3 linked regions of the Tribolium castaneum genome follow. The protein of the gene in region 1 purifies or fractionates together with the protein of each later gene. This does not show direct contact. Links are inferred from orthologs where the notes say so. Each region holds a gene or a part of one and is shown in the gene's direction. Other genes may lie near its edges.

Region 1 (7,875 bases):
GCTCGCTAAGACTGTACGACGAATTCGAAGCTCCTAATTCCTAAGACAGGGTTTAATTTTGTAAAAAAATGCCCATAACAATAATTATTTATGAGTGAATTATTCTCCAAAAGGTGATGACTTTGATATTAAACGAGCAAAGGGCGGTAAGATTGTTGACCACAAACCACAGTTATCTCATTTTTAATAAATTAGACCAATTATGCAATTATGAAAAACCCGTTAAAAAGTTAAAAAAAATTCAACAACTAAGTAAGCAGTAGAGGGCAGAGAGAATTATTTGGTAAAAGACACAATGTACCTGAATTGGCGTAAAGTGGACCATGTTATAGCCCGATTCTTTGGCAACTTGTAGTTTATTTTCCCACGTGTCAAACGGGCCCAAGCCCTTAGCCAACACAGTCTGACACTGAATACAATCCAGCGGCAATTTTTCGTTTTTCCCGTATTTCAAAACCGGGTCTACGAGGAAAAAACCGGAGCCTTGATGTTCGATCTGGTCGTCGTAGGTGAAAAAGTAGTGAAAACTTCCGGACTTTTCGAGTGTTAATTCAGTCAGAAGGGCCGTGTCGTCGGAATGCTGGCAGCCTTCGTCTTGTTGCCACTTGAGCAAGGCGTAGGAGTGTCGCTTGAAGTCGCCGGTTTGAGGGTAGTTGCAGTAAAGCGACACTTTCCGCCCGAGTAAGGAAGGGCCGAGACGGAACTGAATAATCCAGTTTTTCTGCAGGCGGTAAAGAGTCGAGTCTTGGTGTTCTTTATCGTTTAGGGTCAGAACGCGCACTTGGGTACCGGAAGACATTTTGAAGGGAGAAATTTCTTCAGACAAAAGTTCGGAAGACGCTGTTTCACTAGTGACAGTGTCAACAATGCTTTGTATCAGTTCTACTATTTCTTCACCAGGGGCTGTTTTTGGTTCTTCAATAGGTGCGGTTATTTCTCCAAGACCCCCATTAAACTCCACAAACGAAGAATTTTCGGCTATTTCTCCACCGGGCTTGTGGTCTTGGTCAAGTAAATCGACCAGTCTGCGTTCTTCACCCTGAATTTGAGTCGCTAACTCTTCCTCAACTTGGCGTTTTGAACCACCGTTAATTCCAGAATCAGCTTTACTTTCCTCCTCCCTCCTCAACTGTTCCAAGCTTTCCTCAAAACGCTGAGAAGCGACGCTGGCGTACGATATCTTCGAGTGTACTTTTTTGCTCTCTTTGGCCTCAAGATAAACCTTTTTCCCGGTTTCTTTATTGACGATTTCGATACAATTTTCAGGCTTATCTTCAACTTCAACCTTTTCAATCACAACAAACTCATTCTTGGCCCTTTTGTTGTGCTTGAAATGCTCAATGAGCGTCGATTTGGGCAAATCGTCGATTTTCACTTTCTGATTTTTCCTCTGTTTCTTATCCCTGACGGGGAGAAAGGAAAACCCGAGTGAGTCCTCTGGTGGATCTGACACGACCTCGGGACTCAACTTAGCTGCAGAATTTTCCTCAAATTTTGGCAAACTTTCCGACGAATTGCTTTTGAAAAACGAGAAACCGACTTCGTCGTCGCTACTTTTCGGCTTGCTTTTCTTATTTCGTTTTCTCGGTTTGGGTGACTTCACTTCTTCGTCCAATATCTCCTCTATGACCTCCTCAATCGGGTCTGTGAGTGTTGTGCTGAAGGAGGGCTCCCGTAGTGGACTTTTCTTCGGTTTGGGTTTCGCTTTCTTCTTCGATTTTTCCTTATTTTGGTCTTGGTCGTTTGCTTCGCCTCGACCGCCGGATATCTGGAAAAATTGCAAACTGAAGGCTCGGGGCGTTTGTGGAGAATTAAATGAATTTATAGCAAGGACATTTAAAAATAAAACTCACTTGCTCCAAATACCGTGACAAGCTTAGCAATATTAAAACACACCACAATAACCCGTATCTTATTAAATGAAACGCAATAGCCAGACTTTTGCTCGGGAAAAACAAGATTAAGTGAAGGATTCCCATATAAAGTTTCCAAAGGCAGGAAAACATTTTCATTGTTACACCGAGCGGTTTTCCATGACTGAAACATTGTTTACTAACGTCCAATTATATTAAATGCTACTTGTAATAGATTTTTAAGTCGTATAATCGCAATTGAGGCGAAATTCAATAAAAATAACCAAAGACCATAGGTTACATAAATTCGATTTTATTGGTTAATTACACGATAAGGAAGTAAGCGATGTAAACATTCTGTACCTTACTTCTCCAATTAATTACTCATTAATAATAATAATTACAACACTCGTAAAGTTGTGATTAAAGAACGAGAAAAAAAAACAGCAATTTGGGGTTTAAAACTTGCCAAATTGTAAAAATTGGTGTCTTTTTAACACAAACATTGAATAAAATTGTTGTCACTTACTTTTATGCAGGTTTTTCTCACAAAATTGAGATTTTGAGCGGGAGGAGATATTTATTTGGAACTGTCAAGGTGACATTGAGATGACAGCCACTTGTTGACATGTAGAAAAAAAATATACGAAATTTGCCTTCGAATCAAATTTGTCGAGTAACACCTCTTTTAAATAACTAGTGATTTAATATAATTTTAATTATGAAAAAAAAAAAACAAAAAAGTTAATCTAATCTCAGATTTAATTTTACCAAACTTGAGTAAACAAATACGGTATTTTATCTCCCGTTATCGTTAGAATTACGTTTTTGTTGTATTTTTGCCGGACACGAGCGCATTTTTTGAATAATTTGATAAATTGGGAAAGAATTTAAACTTGGTGACTTTTGGTTGGCGCAGTTGGTGTAAAAATTTGGGCCAAAGCCGGGAAATCACGTGTTTTCGGCGCAAAAAAATCACTCGGGTGTTGGAAAGGATGTGTTAATTGATTTTGTGCGTAAAATTCGTAAAATCGGTGTTTGTGGCCCCGCTCCAGCATTATGTAACAGCGCCGCGACAGCCGCCAAAGTCCCTAGGAACAGCTGTTGGTTGGACAACAAAAATATTGAAAATGACATGAGGTGCGAGTGTCTCAACTGATTGAAAGCGAAGCAAAACTGAGAGAAACCCGCTGTTGGCTGTTAATTATGGACAGGAAAATGTGCAACATAACCAACAGTGACAGTGACGAGCAGGAGCTGAATCCCGAGCCCGGGGAAGTGGAGCTAACCAACCGCGTTTTCGACGTTAACAGCGAGGAGTTCCCGGTGCTGGGGGACCTGGACGAGGACGCGCACACCTGGAGCAACAACCTGTCGGACGACCTCGACGTGGGCAACATCAGCAACTTTTTCCACCGCGTGTCCTCCGAGCAGGTCATCTACCAGGCCAAGAAGCGTCTGAAGATGATCGGGAAGTACGTGATGGGGGACCTGCTGGGCGAGGGCTCGTACGGCAAAGTGAAGGAAATGCTAGACTCGGACACTTTGTGCCGGCGCGCGGTCAAAATTTTGAAACAGCGCAAGCTGAGGAGGATACCTAACGGAGTACAAAACGTGGAAAGGTACTCACCGCTCCCACGAGCCAAGCCACCAAGGCCGCCATTTGCGATTTTAACCTGTAACAATTTCAGAGAAATCAAATTACTTAAGTCGCTCAAACACAAGAACGTTATCAGTCTAGTCGACGTGCTGTTCAACGAGGAGAAGCAGAAGATGTATCTGATCATGGAGTTCTGCGTGGGCAGCCTCCAGGGCATGCTGGAGTCCACGCCTTACAAAAAATTCCCCCTGTACCAGGCCCACGGCTACTTCATCCAGCTGATCGACGGCCTGGAGTACCTGCACAGCAAGAGGGTCGTCCACAAGGACATCAAGCCGGGGAACCTGCTCCTCACGTTGGAGGGAGAGTTGAAAATCTCGGACTTAGGCGTCGCCGAGGTGAGTAAGAACCGAAAAAGGGGAAAAATACCTCTCCAGAAGCGTGCATAAGGTCTCGCAAATCCTCCTGACGGCCTCACTCATGATTAATAAACTATTTTGTCGCAATTAGTTAAAATAGACACACACGTTCAAACACATGGACAGTTAAAATTCTTAGTCGAAAAAAGGCAGCAAGAAATTTTGCTGGGGCGATAACTCGATAACCGATAAGAATAAAATGTTTTACCTTAAAAGTACTATCAGGGTCAGGAGTACTACCAGGAACAAAGTTGCAGCTAGGAACATGATTGAGACTGATTCGACACGAAAATGAAATGACCTGTTCGGTGCAGGGTCAAAGGTTACAGATTTTTGGATAAGGAGGCGTTGTCCTATGAGTACACCAAGCCACACCAAATAAAGTGATTAAATTTTTTCACTTGGAAGTGACCTCACTTCGCTTTATTTATACAGTTTTCATTATTTTACTGCATGTTGAACTCATGATTGATACAAAACGCACTTAGACATTCCGTTGTTAAATGATTTCTTGTATCTGTGTTTATTCATTCAAAATTGATACGAGTGTTAATAATAAACCAAATCTATTTTGGGTCGGAGTTACTCTCACGAAATTGAATTTTTTGTCAATTACCTACGTAACCGACAAATAAGACAACTGGTCCAAATACATAATTTATTTTTATGCAATAAAATGTTTCTATAAATAATTAAACAGGTCACGCCTTTGTTTAAAAATAAATGTCATTCAAATTTCCTTATCGTAAGATAGTTAAAAAGTCGTCCCGAAAAGAACAAAAATAACACAATTATCGTCCTAATGACGAAACCGCTTGAATAAGGTAATCGTAATTTCATTCCGACACGATTTAGTGATTTTTTAGCTAAAAAAGTGCTAAGGCCTAACTGAACCAGTGTGGTTTAATACAAAAGCTTTGATTAACTGTCAATTCAACTGCACTGTAAATAAATGCAGCTTAAAATTGTATAAATCTTGGCTTATTCTTTGTACAATTAAAAAATTAGTTTGATGTCTTCAAAAAAAATAAAGAAAGAAAATTCAAAACATCTTCGGTATGGTACAAAGATTTCACGTTATTGGTGTCGCTTAAAAATTGAAAATAAAAGTTTAGTAGTAATTGGTGCAACTGCAATTTTAAGATTGAAAGTTATTTATTATTATCGTGCTAAATTATGAAACTTTAATCGTTTAAAGACATTGTCAATTAACTAAATGAACATCTATAGTAGCACTGAACTGATTTTTCAATTCAACTTAACTTAATTCTTTCAGTTATTGTATTTTAAAGATTTTTTCATCAATTTGAACTCTAGTTTTTTTTAATATTGTAACTTTGAAACTAGTGAGGACTTTTGGGAGTCTTCTATCACACTTTCCCTAGATAATTTTGTAGAGGATTATATCAAAGTAAAAAAATTACTCAATTTCGAATTAATACTCCGTCGTATTTTTAACTCAATTATTAAATAATTGCATTTCTAGGTGAACACAAGACAAAAGTAACGTAATTTTTGCGTAATAATTAGTTTTTTGACTAAAAAAGTGCCAAAATAACATCGTAATTCGATAATCTTCCGGCCTTTAAAATATTATTTGGCCAATTTTTTTAATCCTGAACGTGTATTATACCCTTAAATTATTATATGAACTAAATCTTCTGATAGATTTCGTCTCAAATTATAATTTTTACCATTTTTCAGACAATCGATTTTTTCGCAATAGACGACACGTGTGTTCAAGGCCAAGGTTCGCCGGCTTTTCAGCCCCCCGAGATCGCCAACGGTTTAGATTCATTCCCTGGCTTCAAAGTGGACGTTTGGAGCAGCGGTGTGTCACTGTAAAACTCCAATTCTCCCACTTCCGAAAATAATTTTCTCTTGTAGATACAATTTCGTAACGGGGGAATACCCTTTCGAAGGTGATAGTATTTATAAATTATTCGAAAATATAGGGAAAGGTGAATTCACAATACCGGATTATATCGAAGATCCCTTGCGGGATTTGTTGCTAGGGATGTTGAGGAAGGATCCCGAGGAGAGGCTCAGTTTGCAACAAATTAGGCAACACATGTAACTTTTGGCGGAGTTTGTTTATTTGAAGTTGGTTTTTTGATACATTTTAGGTGGTTTTCGCGCCGACCGCCCGTCACCGCGCCCCCTGTCCCCATCCCGCCCTTGCGAAACGACGAGTTTCACTGTATGACTGTTTTACCATATCTTTTCGATCATTATTACGACACTTCGGACACGGCAAATAACGTCGAGTATTTCACCGAACGGGAGCTTAACGGTTTGATTGTCTCAGTGTGTTTCTGTGTTTTGAAAATTGCTTTTAGAAGAAATTACGAAACGCGAAGCTGAACAAAATAACGGAAGTGCTCAAACCAACCAAAGTTCCAAGCGTAGATGGAAGAAGCCCATTTCGTGTATCGCAGTTAGAAAAATCCCTGGTTGTAAGCAATCTTGACAAAACTTTTGTATTATTTTTATTTATTGTTATTAACATTTTCCGAAATTACTGATCGCATTAAATCGTTGTTGCATTGTTTACAAATTTATATTGTTATAGATGTTTAAATCTCAAATGTTTTTTATTTTTGTTGATGTCTACAAATAGTGGGTGTTTAATCCGATCAGTAATTCGGTTCGAAACACCAGTGGAACAGCATGAGAGTGCCATATGTAAGTTATTGTGAGAAAAAATTGAAGAAATAAATAATTACGTTAACTGGTAATTTCCCTTGATTAATCAAACGCGCATTAAATTTGTAAATTTATTCATAAACGTATTTACAAATTTCAAATAATTAATGACAACAAATTCTCGCTACTGCTACAGATAAAAACAAAATCGGCTACTGTCGGTATATAATTGAGCTAAAATAAATACATAAATATCCCATAATATGCATTAAAAGTCTGATCGCTTGTCCCGATTTTTCGCCCGTGATATCGTCCTTGCTTTAAACGCTGCGGCATTAAGTAATCGCTGAAAAAACAAATTAACACCTAACTTAAACAAACAAAACCTTTACCTTGCGACACCTCTCCATGTGTTGTTGTGCGTGCGCTGGTGTGTCATGTGGCTGCACTATGGGGGCTGTAATCTCAAATATGTCCCTCAGAAGGTCATTCTCCCCCAAATGGATGTTAATTCCAGGCCCTAAAACGGTACACAAGGCGTCGTACTGTTTCCTACGCGCCCACGTGTCCAACATCAGGACTTCCCGACCAAACTTCACAGTCACGTCGGAAACAACATCGTCCTAAAATGATTTTAATCATTTCATTATTTGAAAAAAATAAATAAATTACTTCAATGTATGAAAGAATGTCCCTGAACGTGGCCCTCTGTTGTTTGCGGTCCTTCTTCGCGCGATATTTATGCGAATCCGTGGCCAGTTTCTTAATCACATCTGTGATATAGACTGCAAAGTCGTCAGCAAAATCCGCACTGTCTTTCCTCCCTTCTTCAAAAATCAGCGCTAGGGCTTCACCTGCCGTTAAACGGACTTCTAGGTGCGGCGATTCCAACAGTTCAGATAACTGATCTAGCGATCTACAAGTCGGATTTAATGTTTTCCTATTGTTAGAATTTAATTAATTACGGTAAGGCTTTGCTGTCCATTAAATCGGTGAGACTCCCTAGTGGCATATTGGTCAGCAATAAGGTCCATGCACTTAACGCGGCTGCGTGCAAGTTCGCAACTTCCGCAGTTACGTTAGGAATGGAGCCGTCGCCTTTTAGATAACTGGCCGAGAAAATGGTTTCCAAATTTTGCATGAGAGACAAAGTATCGCCCAGTTGGCGGCCCGACAGGAAACCCATCATACCCAAAGCGAGGCAACACTGGAAATAATCAGAGGAACCACCATAAACATTGTTAGCTGTTTATGCGAAATTTACGTAAACATGATTTTTTAAAAACTTCTGAAAAATTATTATCCGTGTATGAAGATACTCGTGGGATTGATAAAACATAAAATTTTCTTGGAAAAG
Region 2 (7,303 bases), on another chromosome or scaffold:
ATTTGTATTTTTTGACGTAACAATGACATCTACGCTTGCGCTCAGATCGCTAAAAAGATCGCGCCGAAAATATCGCGCCAAAAGTGTTGTGTTTTGTCACTCATCGTTCAACGTGTTACCGGAAGTATGTAGCAATTATTTGTTTAATCGTTTAATCACAGCAAAAATTCTGATTACAGTACGTTAGTGAGTCAATTCCTGGTGTTGAGCACCGACCAAAAAGATAAGTATCTCTTCTTTTGCTAACATAACTTCATCTTTTTGATTGGTGTTTCTTTCTATTTTAAAGGCATTGGTCTCTGGGCTGGGGTGACGGATTTTTGATTTCTACTACTCAAGCGAACTTTAGTCATGGCTGGTTATCGCAAATATTCCTGCAAATACCCCGGATGCACCAGTGGTTATGTTCCCAACAAAGGACATGCCAACAAGCATTTCTTCACTTTCCCTAAGAATCCAAAGCTTCACGAATTGTGGAGGAATGCCTGCAAAATTGAGGATCCTGTAAGTTCAAAATTTTGGCGTTTATGTGAGGATCATTTTGAAAGTCGCGATTTTGTTAATGAGAGGAAGGATAAATTAAATCCACATGTAGTTCCAAAACCATGCGTTATGGCCCCACAAGAGGAGTTTGTTGAGGTTTCCAACTGACTCAAAAAAGTACCGGTGTGCTTTGACAGATGAGTCGCCCCATTTGGCATTTTGGTCAAAATTGTTAACGGAGATGGGCCATTGGAAACTAATAGATTTGAAAAATGGAACTGATTGTACCAATCAGTTTTCATTCGTCAAGGGTTGGCAGACGACAATCAGGTCTATTATTTTTTTATGGAATCACCTCAAAAACATCGATGGGTTTGATTTTTTGAACTTGAGGGGTCTAAACCAAGACCCCTTGGAGAATCTTTTCTGTAGTATTCGCCAGCACGGTGTTGCAAACACGAATCCCACATGCCACCAGTTCACAGCTGCCTTGAAAACCGTAGTTGTTAACAATTTGGTTTCACCAAAAGGCTGTGGTAATTGTGAGGATGACGAGTGCACGCCTTTGGAAAACTTGGGGAGATTATTGAACTTTTCAGGGAATGAGGAAAGAGAGCAGGAATCGCATCCAGAAATTTCAGTGGACTTTTCTACATTACAGCAACCAGACCTTTGCTGTGAAGACAGTCAAGGTTTGGCTTATGTTGCTGGCTATGTATTGAAGGAAATTGAGGTTCCTGATTGCGAAAACTGTCAGAATAAACTATATTCTGAGGAGCCGACAGAGCACCATCTCTTAGTCTCATTCAAGGAATTTGACGATAATCAGCGGCGACTGAAGTATGCTAGTGAACATGTAATGTGGCTTGTTCAAAACATTCATGACTGTTTATACAGTTTCCTTGATACCTATGCTCACCACGCAATGTTGGAAGACAGGTTCAAAGAAATTTATAAATCTCAGTTTGATTTTGGGCCAGCCTATTGCATGACTCACGACTGTGATAATTTAATATTAAATAGGTGTACCACCTTTTTAATATATAAATACACAAGAGACAAGCAGAAAGCAAAATCCGTTACCACCGGTCATATAGAAAAAATGAAAAAATTCCGAAGGCTGTGATTTGTAAATAGACTGTGATTTGTACATAGAAGGCTGTGATTTGTAGATATATATTTAAACAAGAAATGTATTTTTTTTTTAATTTATTTGTACATAGTTCTTTTGGAGGAAATATTTCTGTTTTAATTTATATAGTTTAAAATTGTTTGTTAAGTTTTTTGATGTTTTTTAGAATTCTCTATTTAGGTTATTTCAGAATTTACTTTTAAGTTTCTTATTTGCGCTCGAGTGTGTCAGTGCACTGCATGTACCTCCTCGTGGTCGTAGCGCGGGCAACTGTTTGCTGACAGACAAGGTAAAAGTCATTGCAAAGAAGGCCTTATTTTGTTTTAAGTCTGGAGCAGACAGGCAAAACATGCCAACACTGACTGATTCAATTTTTTGATAATTTTTGTATAATTAAGAAATAATACAATACTTTAATTTTTTGAAAAATTTAATTTGTTATGTTACTCAAGTGTGCAATAAAAATGTTAACAAAATCTGTGTTTTATTACCCCAAAACAACTTTTTTTGTAAGTTTCATTGCAAATTTTGTTTAAAATAAATATAAAATGTTTTCATTTCGTTTAAAATGAAAATATTTTTTTTTATTTTAAACAATTTGCAATAAAACTTGTAAGATAAAAATAATAAAAAACAGAATATAAAAGGAATTTATTCAAACGTGGCGCTTTACCGTGGTAGTAACGCACTTCAGCACCAGAGGCGCTGTATTCTCGTGTTGCCAGTGATTTACTAGGGAATTATCACTTCTTAACCTTTACTGTTCTGTGATTTTACAAGCTCCGCGTTTTCACAACATATCAAGAGAAAATGGCTTTATCACCTCGTGAGTCAGGCAAACTCGTTGCTTCGCTTAGCAAAAACGTGAAAATCAAAGACGAAGGTGTGAAAAAACTGGGGGATTTGGTAAGTCCGTGCGTATCAGGCGAAAAAAGGCACATTTTAACTGTTATCTCCAGTTGGTTAGCGAGATCGAAAGCGGGAAATTGTCCAGTGAGAAGTTCAGTCAAGTGAAACTGCACCCAAAATCCGACGATCCCAAAGCCCTTGACTGGTTATTTGTCGTGGACACTCTGAATTTTTGCTTCTGGCACTTAGAAACCGAAGCTGGCTGGACTGTGGAGGGCTACACTGGTTATTTTGCCCTTTGTGCGGCTATTAATCGAGCCGTGAAGGAAAAAGTGGATATTTTGAACTCGAAATACTACTCTGAAGTGTCCGAAAAAGACCTTGCGAAAATATTCAGAAGCGACAACGATGTCCCAATTCCACTCCTCCAGGAACGCGTCAAATGCTTGCACGAAGTTGGGAACGTCCTTCTTGAAACTTTCGACGGTTCGTTTGAAAATTGCGTGAAAAAGGCTGACAAGAGCGCTGTGGCCCTTCTGGACCTAATCGTCAACAATTTCAAGTGCTTCAAGGACGAAGCGACTTACAAAGACAAGAAAATTGCGATTTACAAGCGGGCGCAGATTTTAATTGGCGACATTTGGGCCTGTTTCAAGAACGAAGGACTTGGGCACTTTAAAGATATCGATGAAATAACAATGTTTGCGGATTATAGAATCCCACAATCTCTCCTATATTTCGGGGTGTTTGAGTACAGCGAAGATTTGAAGAAGAAACTGCAAGACAACAAAATTCTCGAAAACGGGGAAGAGGACGAAGTGGAGATCAGAGCTTGCTCCATCCATGCGGTCGAGCTGCTAAAAGAACATGCCAATAAAAAACTAACTGATACGAAAATCAATGCCATTTTGATCGATCACTTCTTGTGGGACTTCAGACGCGAACATAACAAGGAAATCGTGGAGAAGAAGTTGCCGTTCCACAAAACGTTCTCCATTTATTACTAAATCGAACGACAATATCAAGTTAAAATTGGAGTTGACCGAATCAATGTGCTAATTTATTAGTAATTAATCGAAAATTTCAGGGAGCGGTTGGCCATGAAACTTTGATATGGCATTTTGGTGGTAGTCATGGTTACAATTGTTACAAACCGAACCGTACTTTTTCATTGCCAACTATGCTGTCATGTTTTATTTCATATCAGTAATTTTTAAGATTAATCGTGTCAATGTTTTTAAAGTTAAAGTATTAGATTATGATTGAAAGAATATTCTGGAATTTTATTTGCCCTCGTCTCCCTACCCATGATCCTCTGCCGACGTTTCGCGAAAGCCAGCCAGAGGGCGGAGGAGCAGCAAAGTGACGTTTGTTGTTTATTTCAAAAGTGCAAGTGTTTTATTGTTGTATTTTCTTGGAGGAATCAAAATTCGCATTGGCGTCATGGTCGATTACAGCAAGTGGAAGAATATTGAGGTAGTGAAGTCTGGGAGGAAAAAATGAGGTTAGGTGGTGCTTTGCAGATTTCCGACGATGAGGATGAGACGCATCCAAATATTGACACCCCTTCACTTTTCCGGTGGAGGCACCAGGCCAGAGTTGAGCGCATGGAAGAAATGAAGAAAGAAGCGGAAGAAATCCAGATAAAGAGGGAGGAAAATGCTAAGAAGGTCTCGCAAGCCAAGCAGAAGCTGGCGGAAGCCGAGAAGGCCGGAGATGCGAATTTGAGGGAACTTAAGGACGCTCTGGCCGCGCTGGAGAAGGAAATGGAAGCGATTAAGAAGAAACAGGAAGAACACGAGAAGAAAGAAAAAGTTTGTACGAATGTTAGTTCTTCTAATGTTTATTTAGTGATTTACAGATGGCCCCGTGGAATGTGGACACAATTAGTCAGCCAGGTTTTGCAAAGACTGTTATTAATAAGAAAGCTCCGAGACCGAAGGACGAACAATTAACGGATGAAGAGAAGGAAAGTCGCATGAAAAATTTTGTAAAAGAAAACGAGAAGAATTTGAAGCACTTTGGAATGTTGCGACGTTATGAAGACTCTCGGGCTTTTCTCAGGGACCACCTTGAATTGGTTTGCGAAGACACAGCTAATTACCTCGTCATCTGGTGCATCAATTTAGAAATGGAAGAGGTAAGATTGTGGCAAAAAATGTATATTGGCAACACTGAGTTGTTGGGGTAAATTATGTATTGTTCTTTTAATTAGAAACATGACCTTATGGAGCACGTGGCGCACCAGACCATCTGCATGCAGTACATCCTAGAACTAGCCAAACAATTAGACTACGACCCTCGCGGCTGCGTGGACCCCTTTTTCTCCAAAATCCAAATAGCTGATCCTCTTTACAAAAAATCGTTTGACGATGAATTAGACCAGTTTAAGGAGAGGATCAGACGACGCGCAGCTGAGAAGATTGAAGAGGCCATAAAAGAAGCAGAGGAGGAGGAGAGGAAAGCGAGGATAGGGCCAGGAGGGTTAGATCAGCTTGAAGTCTTGGAAAGTCTTCCCGAGAATTTACGAAAATGTTTCGAGACGCAAGACATCCAAATGTTGCAAGACACAATCAAGGAAATGGATGAAGAAGAGGCCAACTATCACATGAAGAGGTGTGTTGCTGCGGGTCTTTGGATACCTGATGCCAAAAAGAAGGAAGAAGAAGAAGCTGGGCCTTCTGATGAGCAGTCAAAACCCTAAAGTCACTTGCTTTACAATTTTTGTTATTTAGCCTTTATTTCCTAAGAATGCAAATTTATTGTATTAATTTATTAGGAATGCTTGAAGATTAATAAATTTCTTTACTTTATAAACTTGACGTAAACTTTCTTATACCCATCCCAATTCCCGCATTTTCTCTCACTGACTTAAATTAATCATCCACTTGAAAAAAATAATAGCCAAACGAATTTACAGTTTCAGTGGCAGATATAACAATCAACGTTATTTAAAAAAAATATTTGGTAAAACCCGTTCTTTTGAAAAAGCGTAGTTACTTTTGTTCACCGATGTTGGTGTATTTTCGCGTTTCCCATATTTCGTGTTCTGACGCATCACTTGACGTGTCGCAACAACAAGACACGACAACACCACATAAAAAATTGAAAATTTAACCAGTCAGTTAAGATTATGGCCCCAAAAGAAAGCAAAGAAAAGGATGATAAGGTACAGTTTAAATGAATGAACACGTAATTTGCACGCTTGTTATTTAAATACGGAAAAAATTGTAAATTTGGCTTCATAACCTATTGTTGCAGCCTGTTAAAATAAATAAATGGGACGGTTCAGCTGTGAAAAATGCCATAGACGATGCAGTAAAAGAAGTGAGGTCCCGTGACTCCCTGTTCATTGTTATAATAGTATTTTTTAGGTACTTACTAAAAAGTATCATTACGTAGAAAATTTTAAATTGATGGATGGGCGCCTTGTAATTTGTAGTATTGCAGTAGGAGTTGCCATGTTTGCTTTACTGTGGGATTATTTATATCCCTTTCCACTTTCTAAGTAAGAGTCTCAAATAATCCACCCCTCTGTATAAATACTTGCGTTTTTTCAGACCTATATTAATATTTTGTGTGGGCACTTATTTCACAATGATGGGCATTCTAACGTTGTACACCATGTATGTAGAAAAGGGTATTTTCGCTGTATGTATGCAGAAGAAGGACGGTCAGAAAAGCGATAACATATGGGAAGCCAGCTCATATTTAAAAAAGTGGGTCCCAAAGATAAAACCACAGTAATTTATTATTTATTTTAGATACGATGATAAATATAAACTGGTTCTCACGTTTAAAGATGGTAAAACTGGGGCTTTCCGGGAGACAAGCTTAAAGAAAAGTGTTGCAAATTTTGTGGACGTCAACGGTAGTGTAGTGCACGAAATTGTGGAAAATGAGGTTTCAAAGCTGCACAATTCTCTGTTGAATGAACGTAAAGATAAATAGCTCTCGAGATTGTCATGTCAGCAAGGCATTTATTGCATAATTCCACTTGAGTTGTAAATTTCTCTAATACATTACTTTTTTAGTACAATGATTATTTTATTTTTGTTCATAAACGCCTTTCTACGCACAAAACAAAAACTGTTTGCGATTTATCGGAAACGCACAGCCAAAAAATTTTCAACATAACTGTATCGATTTCTATTGAAAAAATAAAAATTATGGAGGTAAAAATCGTGTTTCTGTTCCCATTGAAAAATTCCACAAAAATCTAAACCTTCCTCCCAAGACAATAAAAAAGAGGACATGACTACAGTAGAACCTCGTTTATCCGCGTAGCAGTGCACAAGACAATTTTATAATTATTTAATTTACTACCTAAGAAGTTTAATAAGGTGATACAAAGTATTTGCGTTTAAGGTGAATTACTGCATTTATATAGTTTGTAATGTTGATTTATTTAAAAAGTTTGTGTTAAAATACCTGCAAAAGACGGTCGGTACCCAGGGCCTTGGTGGCCGAGTGGTATAAGCGCCACTTTCGGCGGTGGAGGTCGGGTGTTCGCACCCGGATCACGGCAACAATTTTTCTGAGAAAAAAAGTGTAGAAAAGGTAAGTGAAACAACACGAGAACAAAAATAAGAGATTGAGAGAACATACAAACATATAAACGTATAAACGTAAAGCGGAGCATAAAACTGAGAGAAATAAGAAAATAATGTGGCAAAAATGTAAAAGTACGTAAAGGCGCCAAATTGTAAACGTACTTTTTGTTTTGAGAGAAGAAGAGATGAACGTAAAGGTGAAATATAACTGCAAACTTTAGTTGAATCTTTAGATGACTTATACGTCAGGTATCTTTTGATGGAATCTGGTGAAAAATTAGAGAAT
Region 3 (6,465 bases), on another chromosome or scaffold:
GACTTTTGGTTAAATTATTTCTTTAAAGATTGTGGACTGTGCTGAGTCGCTAAAGAACAACCATTTGAAAGTCTCACTGACTGTTACAGCCGAACCGGACCTCAGTAAAGCGCAAAATATCGACGAAAAGTTGAAGAGAAATTACATGAGTCTTGCAAATTCGGCGTGTCAGTTGGCCATGTCGAATTACGTGTTTTCGCGAATTACTGGTTCTTTGTTTGTGCAAACGAGGACCAATGAGGGGTTGTTCAAAACTGTAAATATCGGTTTGGACATGAAATTTAGCAAGAAAAATCAGGAAACGCCAGGTTATACGAGGAAAATCGAAAATGTTTGGTTTTACACCAGTAAGGCTGTGGATTTAGTTAGGGAATACATAAACAATTTCCCAGAAGTTTTTCGCTTTCTTGCCTCTGGTTCCAACGACGATCTTGACGCCGATGCGATTTTTGGCGAAGAGTGAGTATTGCCGAGTTTTACTTAAAAAAAATGTTTTTTCACGACTAATCTTATTGACAGATTTTAGTTTCTCGTGATAATCGATTCCCCACATTATTTTACATTAATTTTCTTCAAAATATTTCGATTTTATCAAATAGTTTTGCTGTCATTGACAAAACAAGCAAATGGAAAAGTTTGCTCTAAAATCGGGGCGACGTTAAAAAAATGTCTTTAATAATTAATAATAGTAATAAAATTATAAACAATAATAATAGAATTATTGTCAATGTTCCAGTGGGGACGAAAAGGTGAAAAGCATTCAGACTTGGTTAAAGTCGTTGCCTGTACACAATATTGAGAGGCGTGTTTGCGGAAGTTCCGTCTTGGAGCCGGAAGTTGTAGCGGAGATCGAAAAAGAAGTCGATCAGTTGAAAGATTCCCCCAAAAATATTGTCATGCAAATTAAACCACATTTGCTGTATAAGGTAATTTCGGACAATTTTTTGATGTAAAAATTCCATCCGCATAATTTTAGCCTGAAATTCAGACGGGCTATTTGGCCCCAGACCCTCTTGCCCGAACTCGAGTATTTGACCGAATTGTCAATGTTCGTGAGGGTTTTACTGTTCCTCTCGGCCTCAAAGGCACCGTCATTGCAATCCATAAGTCACCTAACGTCCTTAAAAACGAAAACGAAATCTATGATATTGTTTTCGATAAACCATTCGCGGGCGGATTGGCTTTGAACTGTTCCGAACAGCGGGGTTATCGTCTGTCGAAAATTTCTTTCATTAATATTAGTTATGGCAGGAGGCAAATGGAGGAGAAAACTGGAGTGCCAGGTATTTCAGGGTGAAACTTTTCCGTCTTTGATTGAAAAATTCAAGGTGCGTTAAGGGCATTAGCTAAGGAAAGACGTAACGTAAACACCAACATTAGTACAAATATGTATGCCAGGCAGCAAAATTCTGCCTTTGCTTCGGTTAATAAAGCACAACCTAGTTTAATGGGGCCACCGTATAAAAACAATCACTTTAACACAAACCAGTATCCAGTGAGGCCACAAATGCCCATACCTGCCTACGATCAACCAAAAATGAAAAATTCGTTCTATTACATGAGCGACTTTACGCAAATGCAGGGGTCCAAGATTAATAAAGAAAACGCAGTCACTTGGGTATGTTTTTTCCTGAGCTTTGCGCCAACTAACCCACTGTCCTGCAGAGAACTACAGAAATGAACAATCAGAACAGGCATATGAGGGGACCCAATAATGTTACGCAAAACACTGTAAATTCTGCCAAGGCAAGTTATTTATTTCAAGTATTAAATATTAATTTTAATGGTTACAGCCAAAAACTGAGGTAAACACTGATTTCTTAAAACGGATTTTAAACATTGATAATAATGTCGAGAAATCGAGTAATCCGAAATTAAATGTGCCGGTTCAAAATTGTTCAACTTCATCAAGTCGAAAGCCGGAAATGGGGGTAAATAACCAATTTTTGCGATTAAAATTCCACTGCTTATGTAATTGTTAGACTGCGGCGAGCGCTACCGCTAATTTATTAAGCTATTATCAGTCAAACGCTTGGGGTTGTCCGAGGTATTTTTACCTCGAACAAAACAACGGATATGCTGCACAAGTTGTTCTACCTAGCGGTAAATCCATATCGGGAAAAACCGCAAAATCTCGGGAAGAAGCGAGTGAAAATGTGGCGCTAGATGCCTTAAACATGCTAAAAAATGTAAGATTTTTACGTAAAAATAATAAAACTAAAAGTATGTTCCTAGAAGAGTTCTAAGCCAGCAAAAACGGGCCTTCCGTCCGAATTTCCCGTGCCCCCAACCAAGTGGGTCCAAGACCGCCAACAACAAAACAAAATGCCATCCCAAGTTTTTGTGAATAAGTCGTACCAGGTACCACTCTAAATCGTCAAAGAAACGCCGAAATCTTTTATTTTAAGTTCAAACAGGGTGGACATAGTCAGCATCAGAGAATGCCGCCCCCGCACCAAACGGACTACAGTAGAAGGGACCCCGAGTCTAATTTTAGTCGAAATCCGCACACGAGTGCGAAAGCACACAATTTCGTGCCGCTTCAAGCGTTAAAAAAGAAGCAAACTCATGGGAATAAGAATCTTAACACTGGGAATAAGAATGTTAATGAAAATTCACCGCGGAAAAAACAAGAAAAAACTGATGTTTCAAGTAACAGCCAAAACGCTGGAATCTCGAAGGTGAAACTTGCAATGGGGATAATTTAAGTTGACTGACTTGTTACAGGCATGTGAGTTGGAGCGAAATGACCGGCGGGATAAATCAGCAAAGCAGAGGAAAACTAGAATTGCAGCTAGATTCAATCAGTAATTTTAAGAACTAATGGACTGAATTAAAATACATTTTGTTCCGTCTTAATTTCCTCCACTTTAGGTTGATTGAACTATTCCTTTTTAAAGAAATATTTATGGACAAAACTTGAACAAAACATGTGGTTTTTGAGTGTATATACGCTTTCATGCTGTAAATATACACATCCTTCTTTGCCTGTGGACTTTCATTACCTTTGTGCTGCTGATACCAAGCAAAAATGTGGTCAAAAATTTAACGAACACATTGATAGATTGCTATTTTAATTAATATATTTGAATTTTAACTTTTTTAATTTTTTGTCCATATAAAGGGCGGTTTACATTGACCGGTTATCATCATGGAATGAAACGACAGTGGGTGGTGTTTGATATTTTATAAATTCATAAAACACAAACTCGGGCTTTATTATTCAAATTAATTCGATGAAAACGTGATTACCTAATTAGGCATTAGATCTTTTGTGAATTTTTTGAAATTAAAAAAAATGGCGACGTTTTTCGCGGGCGTCGGCAGCGTTCGTGCATTTCCGGCGCAGTCGGGTTTTGGTCAGTTGGTTGTTCGCACTCGTAAATAAAAAATGTGTATGATTTTAAAACGAGACATTTGTTAAAACCAAATTATAAAGAACTCCTCACAAAATGGTTTCTAGTAACATTGAAAAATTAGCAGAAGACTTAGAGAAGCAAGAGTTAGAAGTAAGAGTCATCATCGAGAGATATAACCTCAAACTTCCAATTTTTTACAAATTTGGCGTTTTTTCAGGCACAGAACGGTATAGCATCACCTCAAGTTTACGAACAACTCCTAGCTATATATTTATACGAAAACGACTTGTAAGTATCGCCGGTTTTGGTTCGGTATTGCCGCTAAGGCTAGTTGTAGATGCAATGCAAAATATTTATGGAAACGCATCCCGGCTTCGGTGAAGTCGTCCACTCCTGAGCTAAACAACATCTGGGCCGTGGCCCAGCATATGTGGAAGAGGGACTTCCCGGGGATTTACAAGGCTCTGAACGCGGTAACATGGTCCGACGGTGTGGCGAATATTATGAAACAAGTTCAAGGTTTCTTGCTAATTGGATCACTCTAAACACCACTAATGATTGCGTTTTACAGACAGAGTGAGAAATAGATCAGTAGATTTAATAGCACAAGCGTATTCTTCAATAACATTAGACACTGTTTCTGCAATGACGGGCTTGCCCCCAGACATTTGTGCAACGGCTTGTGTGGAGAGGGGCTGGCAAGTGGAAGCCGACACTAGGATGGTTCACCCCGTTAGACCAACCCCACAAACTTCTGGCCAGACAAGTAGTGAAGATCAATTGTATAAACTGACAGATTTTGTATCATTTCTCGAAAATTGAATTGTATTTTTGTTTTTATAAGTTAATTGTAAGCTAATATAAATATTTCAGTAAATTCCTTCTCATTTAATTGACACAATGCAGAACCACTTGGTGTAATGCCAAACAATTTCCTAAAATAACGGGTGACACCTTCAGATATAAAATAATCCACAGGCGTCGCCCTACACGCAGTCAGTTTTCACACGCGACTAAATGGCTCCAGCTTCACCATGGGGGCCTCAATCGAGCGAAACGAAATGAACAAAATTCATAAAAACCGCCAAATAGCCTGTCAATTTGACAACTCGCCTGGGATTTGAGGTTAAAAACGCTTGACGTTTGTGTCATTGGGTGGCCAAAATTTATTTTTTATTTTATTTTCCAATTTAACGCAAAAATGGTAAAGCATTCGGTCGTCCAAAGGCACTGCTAATCGATTCCTTTCCAGCATGGAAGGATCAAAGTTCGCACTAGCGAAGAACAGAAGCTGCAAAAGCAGAAAGAGCAGCAGAAGAAACTGGTAGCTTATCGCATGGGAATGAAGCAGATCTTGTCGACGAGAAATAAGGAGAATTATGATCCGGCGTCGTTGCTTTTAAGTGGCCAGCTCTTGAGTGTGAATCCCGACATTTACACTTTGTGGAATTACCGTAAAGAAGCAACTTTAATGGAACTGAAGGAGAAGTAACTAATTTCAAGTCTTAAATTCTGTTTTTCACAATTTAACAGTCACTCAGATGCGGAGAATGGTGATGAGAAATCGATTGAGTTTTGCGAGAATGAGTTGAGATTGACTGAACAGTGCCTTCTTTCAAATCCCAAGTCTTACGGTTCCTGGCACCACCGCTATTGGATCTTAAACCATCACCCTAAGCCCAACTGGCAACGAGAATTTGATTTGTGCACCAAATACTTATCCATGGACGATAGAAACTGTAGGTAGTTTTACAACCCGTGGAAAGAACAAACTGAGTTTTTTGCAGTTCATTGTTGGGATTTCCGCCGCTTGTTAGTCAATAAAATTGGCATTACTTTAACTGACGAAATCGCGTTTTCAACCGAACGAATTAATATAAATTTCTCAAATTACTCCTCCTGGCATTACCGAAGTACGTTGCAGTTTCTGACAGACGCCGAAAGCGTGGCTAAAGAGCTGACTTTGGTGCAGAATGCCGTATTTACCGATCCAATCGATACAAGTGCTTGGTTTTACTTGAGGTGGGTTTTAAGCAATCCAAATTTGAGGAAAACTCAAAAAGATGAGTTGTTGGAGGCTTTAGAGCAATTGCAAGAACTGGAGCCTGATTGTAAATGTAATTATGAGCTGTTTTGTATTATTTGAGACTCTTAATAATTTCTTAGGGATTGTTATGGCCAAATGTTGGTTATCAGGGAATATAACAGTGCTGGATAAGGAGCATGTTGAAAATAACGTTCATTACTATAAGGAATTAATCAAGCTGGACCCGTTGCGGCGAGGGCATTATGAGGATTGCCTAAAAATCGTCGAGACGAAAATTGATTGAGTTCACTAGTTGTGTGATTTTTTATACTTAAGTCTATACATAATTGTGATTATTGAGCATTAAATAAATTGGTAAAATATAATATCAGAGTTTTCTTTAAATACCTACATGTAACGCAAATACTAATAACTAATTGCTGATAAAATACAAGCACTTACCTTTATGGCATCTTCTGCTATAGTTTGTAGCAAGTGCCATTGCATCATCTTCTTAAAGGGACTTACTGAAGCAAAAAACAATTAAATTTTAGCATTGTTTCATTAAATTGGTTGGAAATATTACAGATTTTTTTAAAGAAAGTATTGCAGACCACTAACCCTTTAATCCGGATTGTTTCCTAATTTTCTTCCTGGAAATCCACTCCACTAACTAACAACACGCACTAGCCAACAAATTTAAAACTTTTAGACCGAAAGATTCTGATTTTATTTATGTTTCTAATGCAGTCCCTCTGCAACAACAGCAAGTAATAAACTGGATAAAATTAGCGGCACAATAATTGTGTAAGAATATAATGGATAAAACGTCACCAAAAAAAATCTCTGTGATAATAATTGTTACAAGGTGATAAACAAAGAGGTTTGTCCGATTCATTCATTGATTTTTGTGACGACTTCGTCGGTAAAAACAGTCTTCAGAGTTGTTGCTCCAACATGAAAAATTCAAATTAAACCCCTTTGCCGGAGGCAGAAAATACTATATTTATTTTCACGCATTCTTTTGCCACAAACAAATTTATATTTACTCGAAGAATTACACATTCTTCTCGCAAATAA

What was found.
Region 2: the proteins of Lkb1 (region 1) and Cdc37 purify together in Homo sapiens (affinity purification with mass spectrometry; 8 studies listed by BioGRID and IntAct, with this or other methods). This does not show direct contact. The link is inferred for Tribolium castaneum from reciprocal best matches to the Homo sapiens genes STK11 and CDC37.
Region 3: the proteins of Lkb1 (region 1) and CSN8 purify together in Homo sapiens (affinity purification with mass spectrometry; 3 studies listed by BioGRID and IntAct, with this or other methods). This does not show direct contact. The link is inferred for Tribolium castaneum from reciprocal best matches to the Homo sapiens genes STK11 and COPS8.

The regions. Positions count from the first base shown.
Region 1 is NC_087395.1:14,143,249-14,151,123, reverse strand, and holds Lkb1 (serine/threonine-protein kinase STK11), read left to right. Parts: upstream 1-2,713; 5' UTR 2,714-3,059; coding exon 3,060-3,475; intron 3,476-3,544; coding exon 3,545-3,851; intron 3,852-5,576; coding exon 5,577-5,713; intron 5,714-5,759; coding exon 5,760-5,945; intron 5,946-5,998; coding exon 5,999-6,165; intron 6,166-6,211; coding exon 6,212-6,342; 3' UTR 6,343-6,610; downstream 6,611-7,875. Other genes in the region: glycogen debranching enzyme, read right to left, coding at 1-40, 302-1,768, 1,854-2,012; Ifrd1 (interferon-related developmental regulator 2), read right to left, coding at 6,787-6,864, 6,911-7,141, 7,191-7,434, 7,484-7,725. UniProt on the Homo sapiens protein: Tumor suppressor serine/threonine-protein kinase that controls the activity of AMP-activated protein kinase (AMPK) family members, thereby playing a role in various processes such as cell metabolism, cell polarity, apoptosis and DNA damage response.
Region 2 is NC_087398.1:2,270,433-2,277,735, forward strand, and holds Cdc37 (hsp90 co-chaperone Cdc37), read left to right. Parts: upstream 1-3,780; 5' UTR 3,781-3,907; coding exon 3,908-3,940; intron 3,941-3,987; coding exon 3,988-4,278; intron 4,279-4,325; coding exon 4,326-4,604; intron 4,605-4,679; coding exon 4,680-5,168; 3' UTR 5,169-5,281; downstream 5,282-7,303. Other genes in the region: queuosine 5'-phosphate N-glycosylase/hydrolase, read left to right, coding at 2,426-2,521, 2,575-3,471; Spase25 (signal peptidase complex subunit 2), read left to right, coding at 5,598-5,633, 5,726-5,791, 5,839-5,972, 6,025-6,183, 6,229-6,415. UniProt on the Homo sapiens protein: Co-chaperone that binds to numerous kinases and promotes their interaction with the Hsp90 complex, resulting in stabilization and promotion of their activity. Inhibits HSP90AA1 ATPase activity.
Region 3 is NC_087398.1:6,311,485-6,317,949, forward strand, and holds CSN8 (COP9 signalosome complex subunit 8), read left to right. Parts: upstream 1-3,325; 5' UTR 3,326-3,452; coding exon 3,453-3,509; intron 3,510-3,576; coding exon 3,577-3,647; intron 3,648-3,696; coding exon 3,697-3,878; intron 3,879-3,930; coding exon 3,931-4,181; 3' UTR 4,182-4,236; downstream 4,237-6,465. Other genes in the region: pcm (5'-3' exoribonuclease 1), read left to right, coding at 29-459, 737-926, 977-1,283, 1,329-1,618, 1,666-1,746, 1,794-1,931, 1,983-2,189, 2,236-2,361 and 2 more; RabGGTa (geranylgeranyl transferase type-2 subunit alpha), read left to right, coding at 4,561-4,563, 4,612-4,847, 4,893-5,098, 5,147-5,476, 5,526-5,689. UniProt on the Homo sapiens protein: Component of the COP9 signalosome complex (CSN), a complex involved in various cellular and developmental processes.